Linked DNA regions of Oryctolagus cuniculus. The protein of the gene in region 1 interacts with the protein of each later gene in a biochemical or structural test. Links are inferred from orthologs where the notes say so. Each region holds a gene or a part of one and is shown in the gene's direction. Other genes may lie near its edges. The genes, in order: NUP98, NUP88, NUP155, KPNB1 and NXF1.

The links.
Region 2: the proteins of NUP98 (region 1) and NUP88 form a complex in vitro, tested with the Homo sapiens proteins (2 studies listed by BioGRID). The link is inferred for Oryctolagus cuniculus from reciprocal best matches to the Homo sapiens genes NUP98 and NUP88.
Region 3: the proteins of NUP98 (region 1) and NUP155 form a complex in vitro, tested with the Homo sapiens proteins (2 studies listed by BioGRID). The link is inferred for Oryctolagus cuniculus from reciprocal best matches to the Homo sapiens genes NUP98 and NUP155.
Region 4: the proteins of NUP98 (region 1) and KPNB1 form a complex in vitro, tested with the Homo sapiens proteins (3 studies listed by BioGRID). The link is inferred for Oryctolagus cuniculus from reciprocal best matches to the Homo sapiens genes NUP98 and KPNB1.
Region 5: the proteins of NUP98 (region 1) and NXF1 form a complex in vitro, tested with the Homo sapiens proteins (5 studies listed by BioGRID and IntAct). The link is inferred for Oryctolagus cuniculus from reciprocal best matches to the Homo sapiens genes NUP98 and NXF1.

The regions. Positions count from the first base shown.
Region 1 is NC_091432.1:63,190,059-63,193,572, forward strand, and holds part of NUP98 (nuclear pore complex protein Nup98-Nup96), read left to right. Parts: intron 1-478; coding exon 479-635; intron 636-3,514. UniProt on the Homo sapiens protein: Plays a role in the nuclear pore complex (NPC) assembly and/or maintenance. NUP98 and NUP96 are involved in the bidirectional transport across the NPC. May anchor NUP153 and TPR to the NPC.
Region 2 is NC_091448.1:50,908,937-50,913,207, forward strand, and holds the start of NUP88 (nuclear pore complex protein Nup88), read left to right. Parts: upstream 1-1,468; 5' UTR 1,469-1,577; intron 1,578-1,833; 5' UTR 1,834-1,951; coding exon 1,952-2,245; intron 2,246-4,271. Other genes in the region: RPAIN (RPA-interacting protein), read right to left, coding at 1,302-1,382. UniProt on the Homo sapiens protein: Component of nuclear pore complex.
Region 3 is NC_091445.1:62,776,789-62,780,302, reverse strand, and holds part of NUP155 (nuclear pore complex protein Nup155), read left to right. Parts: intron 1-328; coding exon 329-459; intron 460-3,514.
Region 4 is NC_091448.1:23,988,338-23,992,283, forward strand, and holds the start of KPNB1 (importin subunit beta-1), read left to right. Parts: upstream 1-1,137; 5' UTR 1,138-1,538; coding exon 1,539-1,578; intron 1,579-1,681; coding exon 1,682-1,740; intron 1,741-3,854; coding exon 3,855-3,946.
Region 5 is NC_091432.1:8,795,918-8,799,431, forward strand, and holds part of NXF1 (nuclear RNA export factor 1), read left to right. Parts: intron 1-1,161; coding exon 1,162-1,198; intron 1,199-1,440; coding exon 1,441-1,509; intron 1,510-1,584; coding exon 1,585-1,640; intron 1,641-1,771; coding exon 1,772-1,879; intron 1,880-1,985; coding exon 1,986-2,044; intron 2,045-2,137; coding exon 2,138-2,253; intron 2,254-2,380; coding exon 2,381-2,423; intron 2,424-3,040; coding exon 3,041-3,113; intron 3,114-3,514.

The DNA.
Region 1 (3,514 bases):
AGCTTCTGGTTTTTTAAGGGTATTAGTATCAGGTGATCTGGATTCTAATCCCAGTTTTGTGAATTTATTACTGTGTGACAGTCATTTAACGTCTGTGAGCACTGACTTCTGTAAAACATAACTTTTTCTACTTTGAAGGTTGTTTTTGAGGCTTTGTAAAGTGTTCCACAAAATTTTAAAGTTTCTGTAAACCCTGTCTCTACTTCACCTTGCCCATGCCAAAAGGCATGAGTTTAGCTTTTGGCTTGTGCTTATGTTTGATTTTAAAATTATTTATTAAGACCTCAGCAGTTGCTATATGCCAGGTTCTGGTGAGACACATTGTAATGAAATCAGTAACACAAATATTACAGTATTTCTGGACACTATCTTAAGAAGTAATTTTTTTTGGTTGTTGTAAACTGTATCTTTTAGTAGCCTTTCAGTTTCAGAGAGCACATTCATTGTGTGTCTGTGTATATACATATTGCCTTTTTAGATCATGAAAGCATCACTGCTTGCTGATGAAGAAGATATAGACATGATGCTGGATCAGCGCTTCAGTCATGTTCCTTCCAAAGCAGATGCTTCTCAAGAAATCTGTTCTCCCAGACTCCCCATTTCAGCATCCCACCCATCAAAATCTCGTTCACTAGGTATTGTATAAATACGCTGTTTTACAAGAAAGCTGTAGAGTCATCAAGTTCCACGTTTCATATATCTCCTGTGCTGAGTAGATTTCCAGAATGTATCTCCCTAACAGCCATACCTCTGACATAAGAATGTTAAGAGAGCTCACACTCTTATATTAGGAGTGTCCAGTTTTTTAAGAACTATAATTACTTCTGTTGGTGAAGATGCAGAAATTGTATGGAGAGTATAGTATTTGTGCTTTGCTTAGGGTCATGCTTTTGTTTGCTTATGAGTATGAATTAAATAAGTTCCAATTTCCAAATTTTTATCACAAGTTACTTTGAGGATTTAACAAGTTGTCCTACATTGGACTCTCTGTGTAGTCCTAATGCTATCTCAGTGCCTTATGAGGAAATCTTTGCCTTTTGATAATTCATAGAATTCATCAAGATTCAAGATTCCAATTTTCCCTAAGCTTTTTGCCTAGTGGACTAGTAACTTGGTGGAATTGGAGGTAGGGTATTACTATAAACAGAACACTTGAACAGTTAAGTGAATATTAAGTTGTGGTCATTGGAGCAGCAGTTAAGATGTCATTTGGGATACTTGCATACTATAATGAAATTTCTGGATTGGAATCCATTCAAGTTCCCTGGGAGGCAGCAGGTGATGGCTTATATAGTTGTATCTCTGCTACCTGGGATTGAATTCCTGGCTCCCAAAACTCAAACCGGCACCCATATGGGATGTTGGCAGTGGGGGCAGCGGCTTTACCTGCCATGCCACAGCTCTGGCCCCATGCTGCTCCACTTTTTTTTTTTTTACCCCTCCAGTAGAGGGCGCACTCTTGCGAGCGGCTTTTGTAGCCAGTTGCTTCCTGGGTGCTTTACCACCAGTCAATTTGCGGCAGTCTGCCCTGTATGAGCCATGGTATAAAGACCTCCCTACTTACCACACTTCTCCTTCAGCTGGAGCTCGGCGAGCGAGAGGCCGCGCTGGCGTTAGAGAGCAACGGCGGCACGGCTACTGCTCCACTTTCAATCCATCTTCTTGCTAATGCAGCTGGGAAGGCAGTGGATGATGGCCCAATTGCTTGGGCTGCTGCCACCCTTCTGGGAGACTGGGATGAAGTTTCTGACTCCTGAGTTTGACCTAGCACAAACCTGGCTGTTGTGGCCATCTGGGGAATGAATAAGCAGGTTAAAGACATTTCTCTCTCTTTCTTGGGGTCTCTCTAAGTCTTTGTCACTCTGCTTTTCAGACAATTCAGTTAATAAATCCTTTTAAAAAATTGTGGATTAGGCAATTCTTTTTTTTTTTTTTATTTTTTTATTTTTTTTTTTTTTTATTTTTGACAGGCAGAGTGGACAGTGAGAGAGAGAGAGACAGAGAGAAAGGTCTTCCTTTGCCGTTGGTTCACCCTCCAATGGCTGCCACGGCCGGCGCGCTGCGGCCGGCGCACCGCGCTGATCCGATGGCAGGAACCAGGAGCCAGGTGCTTTTCCTGGTCTCCCATGTGGGTGCAGGGCCCAAGCACCTGGGCCATCCTCCACTGCACTCCCTGGCCACAGCAGAGGGCTGGCTTGGAAGAGGGGCAACCGGGACAGAATCCGGCGCCCCGACCGGGACTAGAACCCGGTGTGCCGGCGCCGCTAGGCGGAGGATTAGCCTAGTGAGCCGCGGCGCCGGCCCGGATTAGGCAATTCTAATAAGAACTTTTCCTCAGAAAAGTACATGTGCAATCATAAGAATTTTCAATATTTTTTTCTTTAACTCGTAACAGAAGGTAGGAATTTGAGTTTTGATCTTTGATCTTACTAAGCTCTTATAAGGACTAAGAAAGTTATTTTGAATTTTTTAAAAAGATTTATTTACTTATTTATTTGAAAGAGAGATAGAAAGCTTCCATCTGCTCTTTGAGACCCCCAAATGTCTGCAACAATGGAACTGAGCCAGGCCAAACCCAGGAGTCTGGAATTTCGTGCAGGTCTCCCACATGGGTGTATCTCCCAAGTACTTAAACCATCTTCTGTTGCTTTCCCAGATGCATTAAAAGGGAACTGCATTAGAAGTGGAGCAGGTGGGACTCAAACCAGCACCCATGGGATCCTGGTATTAGAGGCAGCAACATAACCTGCTGTGCCACAGTCCTGTCTCCTTTTATCAGACATGGTGTTCCATTTGACTTTTTGATACATTTATAGATTGTGTAATGTCCACTCAGGGGAAATACATCTCTGTTCAAACATTTAACAGTTCTTTAAAAAACATCCAAAATCCTATCATGGATTTGTTGTGTGTGTATGTGTGTGTGTGTGTTTTTAGTAACATAAATATATAAGAATTAACCATGTGTAATCTTCACACATTTGGAATTTTTATTTAAAGTTTTTATTATTTATAATTATATAATTAATATATATTATATAATATAATTAATTATATGAAAAGCAGAATGACAGAGGGAAAGGGAGAAACGAGAGAGAGAGAGATCTTCAGTCCATTGGTTCTCTCCCCAAATGACATCAAGGGCCGAGGCTGAGTCAGACCAAAGCCATGAGCCAGGAACCCCATCCAGGTCTCCCATGTGGATGGCAGGGGCTGCAAGTACTTGGGCCATCTGCTGCTGCTTTCCAAGATGTATTGGCAGGGAGCTGGACTAGAAGGAGTGTACCTGGGACTTGAACCAATGCTCCAATAAAGCATTGGTATCATAGGCAGTGACTTAACACACTGCTCTGCAATGCCTGCCCCCCACATTTGGGATTTTGGTATGGGCTTAGTACTGGTAACAGACCTCCCTGTACTTTCCCTGCCAGTCCTGGTATTTGGTAGATTTTTTGAGTTTGTACAAGCTACCACTTACTTGAAACCAGTTTTCTTACTTACAAAAATGGGGTGG
Region 2 (4,271 bases), on another chromosome or scaffold:
CACGGGTGCCTAAAGGTCAACCAATGAGGATCAGACCCGCCTCAACCTTCAACGCCCACGCCCTATTTCTATAAAAGGAGCACTCCCAATCTCTCACACAGGACTTCCCCGGCCCCTGCTCTGTTGGGACCGGGGAACCTCGCCCGGGAGCGGGATCCCAATAAAAGCCTGTAAATTAATTGATTCGTCTGCCTGGGAAGATTTGTTATGCGCCGGACACCTTGCAATTCCCACATTTCATATTTAATCTTCCATGCCAGCTTCCTGACCGGTTGGGAGCCCAACATCTCAGCATTCACTGTCCTATCATAAGCCCTTCATATTGTTTCCACATGCTTGCTACTCTAGCGGTGGTTGGGATAGACGGGTGTGGTCAAGACTTTCCTGTGCAACAGGGTCTCCCAGCTCAAGGTGACTCTGTCCCCCAGGGGACACTTGGCAATGCTTACAGACAACTTTTGGTTGCCACAACTCCAGTTGTAGGACTATTGGCTTCTCGTGAGTAGAAGCCACAGCAAACAATTATCTCCCTCAAAATGTCAATAGCCAAGTGCTATACAGTCTGTCTAGAATCACACTGTGTTCCTGGAATATACCAACCGCTTTATTTATACATTTAATTAAATCAAAGGGCAGAGCTACAGAGAGACAGAGACATCTCCCATCCAATGGTTCATCCCCTCCCCCCGCCATGCCCGACACAGCCAGGGCTGGGCCAGGTCCACACCAGGAGGTGCTGCCCAAGGTGGCGCTTCCGGAGCCGGCACAGGGATACTGAACGCGGGCGTCCGGAGCAGCGTGCGGCTACTTCAGCGATTCCTGGAGATGCACACTGTTGCTTTCTAGGAACCAGGCGGGGTTCAGGAGCAGCTAGAACTGAGCGGGGTAGAATTCTGCTGGCACCCAGCAGATGCAGCTCTTCCTCTAAGCCTGTTTGCTCCTCTCCAGGTCAGAAACACTTCTGTCTCCCGTGGCGCACGCAGACAGGTGCGTGTCTCGGGGGACCCCCCGCACCCCCCAACCACACCACACGGTGGCGGCTCGGAAGGTGCGGCTACTACATCAGATTTAAAAGAAGCCCGAGCCCGAGAACAAGTTTTCCTGGCACTGAGAGCACCCAGGCCAATCTCAAACCAGGGGGCCAAAAACTCCGGGAGCGGGCAAATCGAAAATCCAGATCTAAACCTACGGGCGGGAGCCCTGGGTTCCAGAGTCGCCTCCAGCGGCACCCGCTTCCCACAGCGGGGCTGGGGCGAAGGCCCGGATGAGGGCAGTGACCACGGCCCAGGGCCCACACTCACTTTTCTGAAAGCCTCTTTCCACGGCGGCGAGCCCACCAGTTTATAAAGCGAGCGGCGTGGAGACCCCGCCGGCCCGGCCATCTCCTCCTCGCGTGAGTCGCCGCCAAGAGCCCCGCCCCTAAGCGCGCGCACAGAACCCTGGGAGTTGAAGTTTCTGGACGCCGGTGGAACGTGGGTCGCAGGGAGTTCTGGGAATTGTTGTACTAGAACACGGAGACGAAGGATGGGGCGGTGGGGGCTAACGCCGTGAGGTCAACCCAGCCCGGACTGAAAGAGGTAAGTCTTGAAGGAAAGTTCTGAATGCTTGGCAGTATCCAGCCAACAATTAGATACGTAGGGCTCTCAGTCTTTTGCACGGGCGCTAGACGTCCAGGCGCTCCCAAACTTTGTTAACAGGCTCTATACTGTTGACTTCCTCATCCCGCCCCCTCCTGGCTGCGGGGTAAATCCTGGACTGGCCATTGGCTCTCCCTCGGGCTATACCCCTAGCTGATGGGCTGCATCCCCCTTTTGCCCCGCCTCCTCGTGCTAGCCTCGTGCTTCCGGGCTTCCTGCTCGATGATTGGACGAAGCGGTGGACGGCTGGCCACGGATTGGCTGCGCTCCGCGGCGGGCTGAGCAACCCGAGTGAGGCGAGCAGTTGGGCCAAGATGGCGGCAGCCGATGGCGTCGTGGGTGACGGTGAGCCGTGGCAGACCTGGCTTCCCAACCACGCCGTGTTCCTGCGGCTGCGGGAGGGACTGAAACATCACAGCCCAGCCGAAGCCGAGAAACAGACGTCGTCATCACTGCCCACGTCGCCGCCGCAGGTGCTGACGAGGAACCTGGTCTTCGGCCTCTGCGGAGATCTCTTCCTGTGGGACGGGGAAAGCAGCTCGTTCTTAGTCGTGCGCCTTCGGGGCCTCCGCGGCGGCGGCGAGGAGCCCTCCCTCTCCCAGTACCAGGTAGGGCCAGGCCGTCGCGGAGGTGCCCCCCGCGCGGGCTCTCGGCAAGGGGGCCGGTGTGGGCTGGTTCTCGCGGGAGCGGGCGTCCTCTCGGGGACACACCGCTTGGAGCGGGGTGGTGAGTGGGGTGCGGCCGAGGGGAGGGCCGGGACGGTGCGAGAGCGCGGGGCCGGGGTCGCCTTGGGAGCAGGTGCCTGCCCTGGGGGAGGAAGCCTCTGTGGGAGTCTTTCCCCTACCCTCCGCAGAGTTGGAGGGACTTTGGTTTGTTTTTGATAAGTTGTCAGCGTGTGGAAGTGGACGCTTGCTGCGATTGGACATTGCTGTATGAAAATGTTTATTTGTAATACATGATCTGCTTTCATAAAGATTTAAAAAAAAACTTAGGGCACCCTTTCCAACGTCTGACATCTGTTGTGTGCTGCTGTCCAGTTCTTGTTGATGAGCAGTGATTTGATTTTTTTTTAAATGTATTTTGTTTATTTGAATGGCAGAGTTAGAGGTGGAGAAAGAGAGATTGTCCATCCTGGTTCACTCCCCAAGTGACCACTCCCCAACGACCTGGGCTGGACCAGGCCAGAGCCAGGGGCTTCTTCCTGATCTCCCACGTGGGTGCAGGGGCCCAAATACTTGGGACATCTTCAGCTGCTTTCCCAGGAGCATTAGCAGGGAGGTGGATTGGATGTGGAGCAGCTGGGTCTCCAACTGTTGCATGTGTGGGATGCCGGCATTGCAGGTTGTGGCTTAGCCCATTAGGCCATAAGGCTGGTCCAAAGTGCTTTGATTTTAATGAGATGCTAGCATTGCTTCTGCAGCTTTGAAAATAGGTCCAGCCTACAATCTACTTAGTATAAAATTTCAGTTAAGAGTAACTATCAGATCTTCAGTGCGCAGTATTCTAGCAGCGTTCGACACATTCAAAATTGATATATAACTGTTGTCTTTTCTAGGCTGTAAGCACTAAGGCAGGGTGTGTGTCTGCCTTGTTAATTTTGGTATGGCAGGTACTTGACTGAGTGCCTGGAACACACCCCCTCTCAATACATATTGTTGACTGAACAACCCTCAGTCCTCCAGAATCTCGAAAACCTCACAGATTGGTGAGGAAAAGCCATTTACCATGAGTTACAACCTTAAATTAAAAAAAAAAAAAAAAAAGTAGTGATTTTAAAACCAGTAACAACATGGGGCTGGCACTGTTGCATAGTGGGTAAAGCCGCCCGACGGTTGCTCCACTTCCGATCTAGCGCTCTGCCTATGGCCTAGGAAAGCAGTGGAAGATGGCCCAAGTCTTCGGGCCCCTGCACCTGCATGGGAGACCCGGAGGAAGCTCCTGGCTCCTGGCTTCAGATCGGCACAGCTCCGGCTGTTGCAGCCAATTGGGGAGTGGATAGAAGACCTCTCTCTCTCTCTGCCTCTCCTCTCTGTGTAACTCTGACTTTCAAATAAATAAATAAATCTTCAAAAAAAAAAAAGGAACAACAGAAATCTAAATAAAGTGATTTTCATAGATGAACTCATGTGATTGAATTGTATCTGAAGCAGAAGCAAAGCGGCCTCTTCAGTTTGAGTTAGGCTGTGGAATCAGGTAGGAAGAAGTTGGGGGTTGAGCATGAGGAGAAAGCAGAGAAGAACCACGGAAGTGCCTCAGAATTGTTTTGAGAAGAAACGCTTTGATTAGAATCACTGACGGACAAATAAAAAACAAAGCAGGCTTGTAGACATTGCAGCAGTAAGTAGAAATCTCATTCAGAGTAGAGTTGTCTAAAAGAATTTTGGCTTCATGCGATTCTTCATGTACCAGGTAAATAGTACATTGACAGTCTCACGGCTTTCACTGAACAGGGAAAGAAAAGAAAACGGGAATCTGAGGTGGTCTTAGGAAATAGGAAGTACAAGTGGACGTGAGTTTTTCAAGGACTTTTTTTTTTAAGGTTTATTTTTATTTATTTGAAAGAGTTAACAGAGAGGTAGAAAGAGATCTTCCATCCACTGGTTTACTCCCCAAATGGCTGCAATGGGTGGGACT
Region 3 (3,514 bases), on another chromosome or scaffold:
GTGCAGTGGGTAATGTCACTGCCTGCAGTGCCAGCATCCCGTAAGGGTGCCAGTTTGAGACTCAGCTACCCCACTTCCAATCCAGCTCTCTGCTGTGATCTGGGAATGCAGTAGAAGATGGCCCAAGTCCTTGTGGGAGACCCAGAAGAAGCTCCTGGCTTCTGGCTTTGGATTGGTTCAGCTCCAGACAGTGCGGCCATCTAGGGAGTGAACCAACGGATAGAAGACTACCCCCCGCCCCCACCACCTTTCAAATAAATAAGTGAAATCTTTTTTAAAAAAACTGTGTTACTTTTATAAAATTTCTTTAATTGTGTTTTATCTTTAGAGGCTCAACTGAGTGAAAAGGTTTCACTTCAGGCAATCCAGCAGTTGGTTCGAAAATCCTACCAGGCTCTGGCTTTATGGAAACTTCTTTGTGAACATCAGTTTACTCTCATTGTGGGAGAACTTCAGAAGGTAGGATTTTTTTCTTTGTTTTAAGATCTGTTAATGCTACAAGCAATGTTGTTTTCTTTGGCATGCTTTTTCATCTTACACTTGGACTTGGGAGGGATTATTTTGGTTACAGTAGATTCAGTATATCATAGCAAGATGCACTAAAGTATGATAACTTGAGAGAATCATATGGTCAACTCCGCAAGCTTCTGCAGTATATGAGAACTTCTTAGTGGTATGTGAGAGAACTCTTAACTTTATTTATTTATTTAAAATATATTTTTAAAATTTATTTGGCAGATAGAGTTAGACAGTGAGAGAGACAAAGATCTTCCTTCTGTTGGTTCACCCCCCAAGTGGCCGCTATGGAGACTAAGAAGAAGCTCCTGGCTCCTGGCTTGAATCTGACCAGCTCCAGGCATTTCAGCCATTTGGGAAGTGAATCAGTGGATGGAAGACCTCTCTGTCTGTAACTGCCGTCTCAAATAAATAAATTAAATCTAAATAGAAAAGAAAAAAAGATGTTTCTCATAGGAAATGACCAGTTTATATTTCTTTTACTGGCCTCAATAAAATCCTCTTGCTTATTTACGTATTTGAGAGTTAGAGTTACAGAGAGAGGAGAAACAGAAAGATCTTCCATATGGGATGCTGCAGGCAGTGGCTTAACCCACTTCACCTCAACACCAGCCCTACCTCATATGTCTTCTATCAAATGGATGTTAAGTCTATGTAGGCTTAGTTGGGTTCAGATCCATTTATTTCAGAAAGAATAGTATACTTCACAGTAAGGCTTTTTTCTTTCAACTATTAGGAGATACAAACTGTTCAGTTGTCCTAATTTATAATAAGACTAACAATATTTAGAATTAAGTGGTGCCGGCGCCGTGGCTCACTAGGCTAATCCTCTGCCTGCTGCGCCAGCACCCTGGGTTCTAGTCCCAGCTGGGGCACTGGTTCTCTCCCGGTTGCTCCTCTTCTAGTCCAGCTCTCTGCTGTGGCCCAGGAAGGCAGTGGAGGATGACCTAAGGGCTTGGGCCCTGCACCCGCATGGGAGAGCAGGAGAAAGCACCTTGCTCCTGGCTTCGGATTGGCGTAGCAAACCAGCTGTAGCGGCCATCTGGGGGGTGAACCAAGGGGAAAAGGAAGACCTTTTTCTGTCTCTCTCACTGTCTAACTCTCCGTATCAAAAAAATAAAAAATAATAATAATAAAAAAATAAAAAATAATAAATAAATAAATAAAAATATTTAAGTGGTATTATTACCTGAGTTCATTATAAAATTTTCTTTATCCTGTATGACTGTTTGATTGCCCAGAAGTGCTTAATTCTTGACTCTTCACCACTTTTTTTTTTTTTTTTTTTTTTTTTTTTTGACAGGCAGAGTTAGACAGTGAGATAGGGAGACAGAGAAAGGTCTTCCTTCCATTGGTTCACCCCCCAATGGCCACTACAGCCGTCACGCTGCGCCAATCTGAAGCCAGGAGCCAGGTGCTTCCTCCTGGTCTCCCATGGGGGTACAGGGCCCAAACACTTGGGCCATCCTCCACTGCCCTCCCGGGCCACAGCAGAGAGCTGGACTGGAAGAGGGGCAACTGGGACAGAATCCGGCACCCCAACCGGAACTAGAACCCCGGGTGCCAGCGCCACAGGTGGAAGATTAGCCTATTGAGCCGCGGCGCCAGCCCACCACTTTTTAAAGTTAAAAGTCCTCTGGTTTCCAGCAGTGCCTGAGGAGTGGTTTTGGGTTTTTTGTTGACAGTTTTTTCTTTTAAACATACACTTTGTTTTCCTTTTTTAAAATTCAAGCTAATGGCCGGCACCATGGCTCACTAGGCTAATCCTCCGCCTTGCGGCGCTGGCACACCGGGTTCTAGTCCCGGTCGGGGCGCCGGATTCTGTCCCGGTTGCCCCTCTTCCAGGCCAGCTCCCTGCTGTGGCCAGGGAGTGCAGTGGAGGATGGCCCAGGTGCTTGGGCCCTGCACCCCATGGGAGACCAGGAGAAGTACCTGGCTCCTGCGATAGGATCAGTGCGGTGCACCGGCCGCAGTGCGCCAGCCGCGGCGGCCATTGGAGGGTGAACCAACGGCAAAGGAAGACCTTTCTCTCTGTCTCTCTCTCTCACTGTCCACTCTGCCTGTCAAAAAAAAAAAAAAAAAAAAAAAAAAAAAAGTGGTGAAGAGTCAAGAATTAAGCACTTCTGGGCAATCAAACAGTCATACAGGATAAAGAAAATTTTATAATGAACTCAGGTAATAATACCACTTAAATATTTTTATTTATTTATTTATTTATTTATTTTGCTGTTGGTTCACCCTCCAATGGCTGCCGTGGCCGGCGTGCTGCGGCTGGTGCACCGCGCTAATCTGAAGCCAGGTGCTTCTCCTGGTCTCCCATGGGGTGCAGGGCCCAAGCATTTGGGCAATCCTCCACTGCACTCCCTGGCCACAGCAGAGAGCTGGCCTGGAAGAGGGGCAACCGGGACAGAATCCGGTGCCCCGACCGGGACTAGAACCCGATGTGCCGGCGCCGCAAGGCGGAGGATTAGCCTAGTGAGCTGCGGCGCCGGCCGCATCTTTTTATTTCTATAAATTTATGGTTTTAGTTTTAAAATTTAACAACTTTTTTAAAGACTTATTTATTTATTTGAAAGGCAGAGTTACAGAGAAGCAAAGGCAGACAGAGGGAAAGGTCTTTCCTCCAGTGCTTCACTCCCCAAATGGCCGTAATGGCCAGAACTGAATAGATCAGGAGCCAGGAGCTTTTCTGGGTCTCCCATGTGGGTGCAGGAGCCCAAGGACTTGGGCCATCTTCTCCTGCTTCCTAGGCCATAGCAGAGAGCTGGATTGGAAGTGGAGCAACTGAAACTCGAACTGATGCCCATATGGGATGCCAGCACTAGCAGGCAGTGGCTTTACCCATTGTGCCACAGCATTGGCCCCTAATGTAACAGCATTTAAAGCTCCACTTTTAATAAGCAGATTTGTTCAAAGGCAGATAAAAACCAATGTTGAATAATAAAATTCAAACATTACTAAGGGACAATATGATACAAACCCAAGGTTTTTTAATGTA
Region 4 (3,946 bases), on another chromosome or scaffold:
TTTACGCTTAGGAAATCAACCTGGAGCCCACCTGCCAATACTGGAGAAGCCAAGAAACCCGACACACATGTTCTCTATGTGCATTTTCCTACCAAGGGGGGGGGGGGAGGGCTTGAGTTTTTCCCAGGACTCTGAACTTTCCAAGGCCAAGAACCGCGGAGCTTTTGGCCTATGCACATTCTTTGATTCGAGGATGTGCGTGTACAAGGGTACCCCTGCAGCGTGAACGAAACACTTCTACTTCAGGTACCCGGTAGCTATGGACAGGGATCTAACGGGAGTCTCTTAGCCCTTCCCTAAGTCAGACTTCAGAACAGGTCTCAAACCCTACGAATGGCCTAAGGGGACTCCTGGAGCGGGGAGGCAAGACGCCTGTAGGGTCAAGGGCAGCCCAGAGTCCCCGAGGACAGCCCTGACCAAGCCGCTAGCCGGCTGCTGCGACTTTGGACAAGTCCCATCCCCTCTGGGTTTACTTTCCACATCTGCACATTGGAAGTTGGACCACATGGTCTTCAAGGTCTTCCCCAGCCGAGAGTCTGGCAACAAGTGGAGTTAGCTCGTCGCCCAAGCAGCTTCCTGTGGGCGCGGTGCCGGACTTTAACGGTCTCCCCCTCCCCCGCTCAGGCCCGCCAAGCCCTCCCTCCCCACGCCCCTCCGAGGGCCTGCGCCTCCCCAACCGCAGCCCGGGCTGCAGGGGCCCAGCCCCGCCCCTTCCCGGGGGCGTCCCAGCGTGCCTCGCGTCGGGGCTCCTACAGCGGCCAGGCGCCTCCCGCCTTTCGGCGCCCCGACCCCGAACTCCTCTCCCGGGCGCCCTATCCTATCAACGTCTAGCACCCCAGCCAATCGCGCGGGCCGCGGGTCTCGCTTTGAGCCCACCCTCCTCCCAGCGCCCAGCCGGTCTGAGCTCAAGGCCTTTACCACGGCGACCCAATCAGTGGCTTGCTCCCGCCTGCCCCACCCCAACTTCCCTCCCCCAGGCCAATCCGCGAGCCGCATTCTCCTGCCCGCCCAGCCAACCCGGGCCTTCAAACTAGCGGGCGAATGGACGCACGGCGGCCCTTCAACGCTGACCGCCTGGCCAATTGGGGATTCCGCGTGGCCAAGGCGGCAGCCAATCGCCGCGGAGCGCGGTGCCGCCGCGGAGAGGTCCGGCCCGAATATCCCTCCGCCTTCCTCCCTCCCTCTCTCTCCCTCCCTGCGCGCCGCCCGTTCACTGACTGCCTCCCTTCCTTCTTTCTCCCTCCGCCACCCGAGCACCAGCCGCGCTCTGAGCTGCCCGTGGGGTCCCTCCCCCGCCGCCAGAGGAGCAGCTGCCGCGCCGCCAGCAGCATTTTAGGAGGGAGGAAGGAAGGAAACGGGAGGAAGGGGAGCCGGAGGGACGACTCTCAGCGAGCCGGTGAATGGGCGTGTGGTGACCCCCGCCCCCCACCCCACCCTCCCTTCCCACCCGACCCCCAACCCCCATCCCCAGTCGGAGCCGCCGCCCGAGAGGCCGGACCGTCGTCTTCGGAGGAGCAGCCGCCGCCGCCACCTCCGCCATGGAGCTGATCACCATCCTCGAGAAGACCGTGTCTCCCGGTAGGACTCGGGGGCCGGGGTCGCGCTGAGGTGAGTTGGGGTGGGGGAGGGGGGAGCCCCGGCCCCTCTGACCCCGCTCCCGTCCCCACTCTCCTCCCCCCAGATCGGCTGGAACTGGAAGCGGCGCAGAAGTTCCTGGAGCGTGCGGCCGTGGAGAACCTGGTGCGTGCCGCCCCGCCGCGCCCCAGCCCGCCGCGTCCCCGTTCCCTGCGTGCGGGGCCTTCCCGCCCTCCCGGAGGCCCAGGCCTCGGGAACCTACCCCGCCCCATCCCGTCCCCCTCCCCCCGCCCCGTCCCCCTCTCCTCCGCGCCCCCCCCGCGCCCGGTCCAACCTAACCCCGCCGTCGGGAAGCCGGTGGGTGTGTCCCGCCCCGGGCCGCGCGGCCGGCCAATGGCGCGGCGCGCCGGGGTGACTGCCGCCCAATCGCCGCGCGGCCTGAGGGCGGCGGTGCAGCGGGAGGGAGAAAGAGCGAGGGGAGGGAAGTTAGGTTGCGCGGCGCTGCGTGTTCAGCAAGGGTGGGGGTTGGGGAGCCGGGCCTAGGGGCCATGTGGAAGCTCGGAGGCCGGCTGCCCGCCCTGCTCTGGCCCAGCCGGCTTCTCCTTCCTGTCCCGGGGGCCCTGCGGCTCTCCCCACTTCTTCCCAGAGCGTTTGCTTTGCTCTGTGCTCCTGGCCAGGCCTGCACCCCCGGCTGCCTCTGAACCCTTCCCATTGGTATTTCTCTCCCTCTCCTGCCTAGTTGGCCCTCTCTTGGGGCTTTTGTGGAGGTCTCCCCGTTTTTCCTGGCCCCGATGACTAGAGACCTCATCGTTAGGGACCTGCGCCCAGGCGACATACTGAGGCTTGTCCTGGAGATCGGGCCTATTTTTAATGAAATAGAGGAAAGTCCTCATTTCTCATTTCCGAAGTCAGGGGGTGCAGGGAAAATGAAGATAGCTCCGCCGGAGGCTGGAGCTCCCTACAAAAATGCAGGGTTGATTGGTTGGAACGGTCTGGTGCAGCTTGTTTCCTTCTCCTGCTGGGGGATGGGGAGAAGAGGGAGCGGTGGATGATACTGGACATCTTTTAAAGGTGCGAGGTAGTGAGGGCTAAATGACGCTGTAACCAAACGTGTCCTCTGGGGAAGGCACGTCAGCAACAACAAAGTGACAAGGCTTATTTTCTACAAGCTGCGTTTGGCTGTTCTTGTCCTTCCACGTGCCAGTTTTACACCTCTTTTATCTTGAACTTGCCCTACAAAAGATTTTTCCCCTGGTGTAGACCAGTCATTCCATTCAGGGTGTATTCCTGTGTGTGGGTTTGCTGACTTGCAAGCAGCTTTTTCTCTTATTCCTGACATTCTTCAGTGGTGCGTAATTAACACAACTTTTGAAGAATTCTCTCTTGCTGTGATTGCGGCACTTGCCCGTGGTAAGAAAGTGTACTGCGTTTGGCTTTTCCTGTTGTTTGGATGAGGCTTTTTTTTTTCTTTTTTCTTTTTTTGGTATGGGATAGAATTGTGAAGCAAGTAGCTTGGAACCTGTGGGTTAGAAGATTGTGCTTTTTAGGGATCCACTGTGTTCAGTAGACAGCTCAAGTCTAAGGAGCCCTTGGTGTATTGACTGTTGAGTTAAGCATAGTCATTTTCCTTAAATGACTTGCCTGGACATTTTTGTCTGTTTGGTTTTTTCCTGTTTCTAAGTATCTACTACTTTCCCTTATCGATTGGCTTTTTCCTTTGGTCTCCCTCTGCTGAACACCCCGCAAGTAAAATACAGAGGATTAGGTACCCAAGTCTGCTTCAGGCTTAAGTATTCCATTTTTTATAAGAGATTAACTGCTCCCAGGGGCTCAAACCATCATTCTTTTTGGACTAAGCTTTTTGAAATTCAGAGAAGCAATTTTAATTTCTACCCGTCATAACATTTATTCATTCAACAAATATTTATTGAGTATCAGAGGTGGTTCTGGGTGCTTGGAACGCTTCAGCACACATGAAGAATGTGCTTGTCAGATTTGCTTAAATTCTGGCGATCTGTTAGGGAGATTGGGGCACTGAGGATGATCTTGATAGGAAAATAATGTATCTCCTAAGTAAGTGCTTGGCTACATGCGAAGACGGGTGGCCTCCTTGTATATCAAATAACTTTTATGGGGATCTTGAAGTAGATGGTTTAGAGTTCCTGGTATGTCCCAAAAGTGTGTGCTTCCTGCATCCACCCATGATTTGGGTGCTTGATGAACTTCAGTTATTGAAATCCCAAGAGATTTTCATTGGCCAATGCATGTTCTCTTAACAGCCCACTTTCCTTGTGGAACTGTCCAGAGTGCTAGCAAATCCAGGAAACAGTCAGGTTGCCAGAGTTGCAGCTGGTCTACAAATCAAGAACTC
Region 5 (3,514 bases), about 54 Mb from region 1:
TCGCCAGCAGGCGTGGGAATCCCAAGGAAGGTGCTGGGCGTGGAGGCCACGGGGGCATAGGCTACCAAGGAGACAGAGAACTGACCCTGTCAGGGGCACTGCCCCGCTCTCACTCGCACACCTCACGTCACCCTGCTTGGCCCCGGAGGATGGCTGGTTAGCCAGAGACGGGTAAGATTCCTCTGGGAAGGAACAACCTAAGACAGGCACAGTCGCAGAGGGGCCATCAGGAGAGAACTTGGGGGCCAACAGAGGTGGGGCACAGACCCTCACCCCCCCAACTTTGCAGGGGTATGAACCCTCACCCCTTCTGAGGGCTGTCTCCTGCCCCCGTGGCTGCTTTGCTTCCCACGCCTACCCAGCTCAGATCGGGACCCAGGTGGCAGATAGAGACCTGGCCAATAGCAACTGCCCGCTCACCACAGCAAAGATTTCTTCCCCATTTCTGCCTTGGACCACAGGGAAAGGGCAGCTAAAGGAAAAGGCTGTATCCAGGTGTCTTCCTCTCCTATCCTCTTTGATGGAAATGCCTCCTTGCTTTGTCGCTCTTTTGTTTTTCTTGGCTTTCTCTTGCCTTTTCCTCCCTACTTCCCATTGCCTCCTCTGTCTCTCACTTGTCCCATCCCATTCTCCCTTTTTGCTTCCTCTTCTTTTCCTGTCTTTTTCTGTTACCTCCCCTCCCCATGAGCCCCGCCTTGCTCATCTCCCTGCCCCAACATCCTGTGCCATCCTGTGGTGTGCTCTGGTCTTGGCCAAGGCCAGACCTGGCAGAACTGATGGATACCTGGTGAGGCAGCGGAGCCCCTGGGCTCCCACCCCATTCCCTTCTCCCTGGGCTGCACAGGTGAGTAGGTGGAAGGTAAGGGGGGCAGGGAGGGGAAGGATGGCCTGGGCTTAAAGCCTGGGCTGAGAGTGCTACTCTTGTGGCACTTGGGGTTAGGCAGAGAGAAATGTGACAGCCTTCAAGGCAGTCCATGTCTGGGAGCCCTGGGTCAGGTGGGGAGTGTGGGCCATTTTTTCTCTGAGCACAGGCTGGGGAGGAGTGGGGGGATGAGCAGGATGGTATGGGCTACCCTTGGGCCCTGGTGTATTTGCTCCTATAGCAGCCCAGGAGGCACGGTGGCCCTGAAGCATCACTCACTTCTGTCCCATTCTTGACAGCGCCATTCGTGAACGATTCCCCAAGTTGTTACGCCTGGTAAGTTGACAGCTGTTTTCATTTTCTTCTAAAGAGTATAATATCTCCCACTCCCTCTGACAAAAGCTATAATCCTGCTTCCCAGGAAATGCTGCTAGGCAAAAGTTGCATATGTCAGGGTTCATGGACACTTTTCATACTTCTTTCACACTTCTTGCCTGTCATTTGTAGCTCTTCCATCTAGGTAAGCGTGTAGCCATTTTTCCTCTGGTGTATACTCACCTTTCACTTTATCTGCATAGGATGGCCATGAGTTACCCCCACCAATTGCCTTTGATGTTGAAGCCCCAACACTGTTGCCACCCTGCAAGGTGAGAACGGGGACATAGCTAGAATGTGGGGGTGGGGGTACTGGTTCCATGGTCCTAATATCTGTTTGATTCCAGGGAAGCTATTTTGGAACAGAAAACCTGAAGAGTCTGGTCCTGCACTTCTTGCAGCAGTAAGTATCCCAGGGCCCCAAGGCTGCAGAGGGGTTTGGCTGTCCAAAGCCCGGTTCATTCTTGGGAGCTGCTAAGTCCCTCTGTGGCTGCAGAGCTTAGAGTTTCCCTTTTTCTTTTTTTCCTCCCACAGGTATTATGCAATTTATGACTCTGGAGACCGACAGGGGCTCCTGGATGCCTATCATGATGGGGCCTGCTGTTCCCTGAGCATTCCTTTCATCCCCCAGAACCCCGGCCGGTGAGTTCACGTCCCAGAACCTGCCCAAGCCTTCAGGGTTTCCCAGCAGGAAGGGACCAGCTCTGCTAGCAACCAGTGTTCGGACCAATGCCTCTTTTTCCACTAGAAGCAGCTTGGCAGAGTACTTCAAGGATAGCAGAAATGTGAAGAAGCTTAAAGACCCTAGTAAGTGTATGATGTGAGCAAAACAGGATGGGAGGGAATCGGAGCACTTAGGATGGTTTGGCAGCCCCAACTCCCTTCCTCCTCCACCTCCAGCACTGCGGTTCCGATTGCTGAAGCACACACGTCTCAACGTGGTTGCCTTCCTCAATGAGTTGCCCAAAACTCAGCATGACGTCAATTCCTTTGTAGTAGACATAAGCGCCCAGACCGTAAGTGCCTATTTCTTTCCTGATAGACGCCTTAAATTGGGGGTGAGGGTGGAGGGAAGCATTTAAGAGGCAAAGGGGCTCAGGTCCTACCAAGAAGCCTCCAGTGTCCCTAATGCTTCTTTTTCAGAATACATTGCTGTGTTTTTCTGTCAACGGTGTCTTTAAGGAAGGTGAGAATTTGGGGGGGTCCTGAGGTTATAGCATGGTCCCTCCTCCATCCAGAATCTTCTTCAGCACTCTTAGTTTCTCAGCTACCTTCTGTCCCCTTTTCTTTCCTGATCTCCTCCCATTCTGCCACCAAGCCATTGTGCTTGGGCCTGCCTTCTCCACCTATCTTGTCTGCAGTATAGGAAAAGCCTGGGATAGATTAGGAGGACACAGACTTTGGAGTCAGAAAGGTCTGGTTTTCCATCTCAATCTTGATTCTGTGCATCTGTGTGCAAGTTATTATCTCTGAGCTTCATCAGCATCTTCCTTTGTATTCTGAGATGGAGTTGGTAACAGCCAGGTCTTAATGGTGCCATAGGAAGTAAATGAAGTGACTTTTAAAGTACTTTACCCCTGGCACAATACACAAGTGCTCTGTCAGTGGGTTAGTAGTTGTTAGTATTATTATCCTTTCTGACCTCTGACCCTTTGCCCCCCCTACACTCCCCTGCACATGACATAGTTATCCCAGTGTGGCCCACGCGGGGTTCTTTATAACATAGAAGACAGAGAGCTGAGAAGCTATTTCTAAACATAAAGCACAAGTGCCTCTAAAAGGTGGTTGCCGCTCTCTTTGCAGTGGATGGAAAGTCCCGGGATTCTTTGCGAGCCTTTACTCGGACATTCATTGCCGTTCCTGCCAGCAATTCAGGGTAAGTTCCCGGTTTACCAGGTTGGGTACCAATCCCAGTTCATGGCCAGCAGCATGGTAATTGGAGGGTAGAATCAGTCCTCAGGATGTTTTCAGAATCTGAAAGGCAGTGGCAGATCACAGGAAGTGGCTCCCATCCTGGTTAAGGGCTTGGCTCTGGAGTCGGACTGTCTGGGTTTTCATCTTGAGTTTACTACTGGCCATGGACCAGTTTCTTCATCTGAAAATATTATAATAATATTCACTTCCTAAGTTTACTGTGAAGACAGATAAAATACACAGGGGCTCACAGCTGTCTGTGGTCAGATGAGAAACTATGAGTTCAATGTGTTTGGCAGAACATCCTTCCAAACACAAAGCCCAGAGGACAAACTATGCAAATGGTAAAAGGCAGCAGCTAAC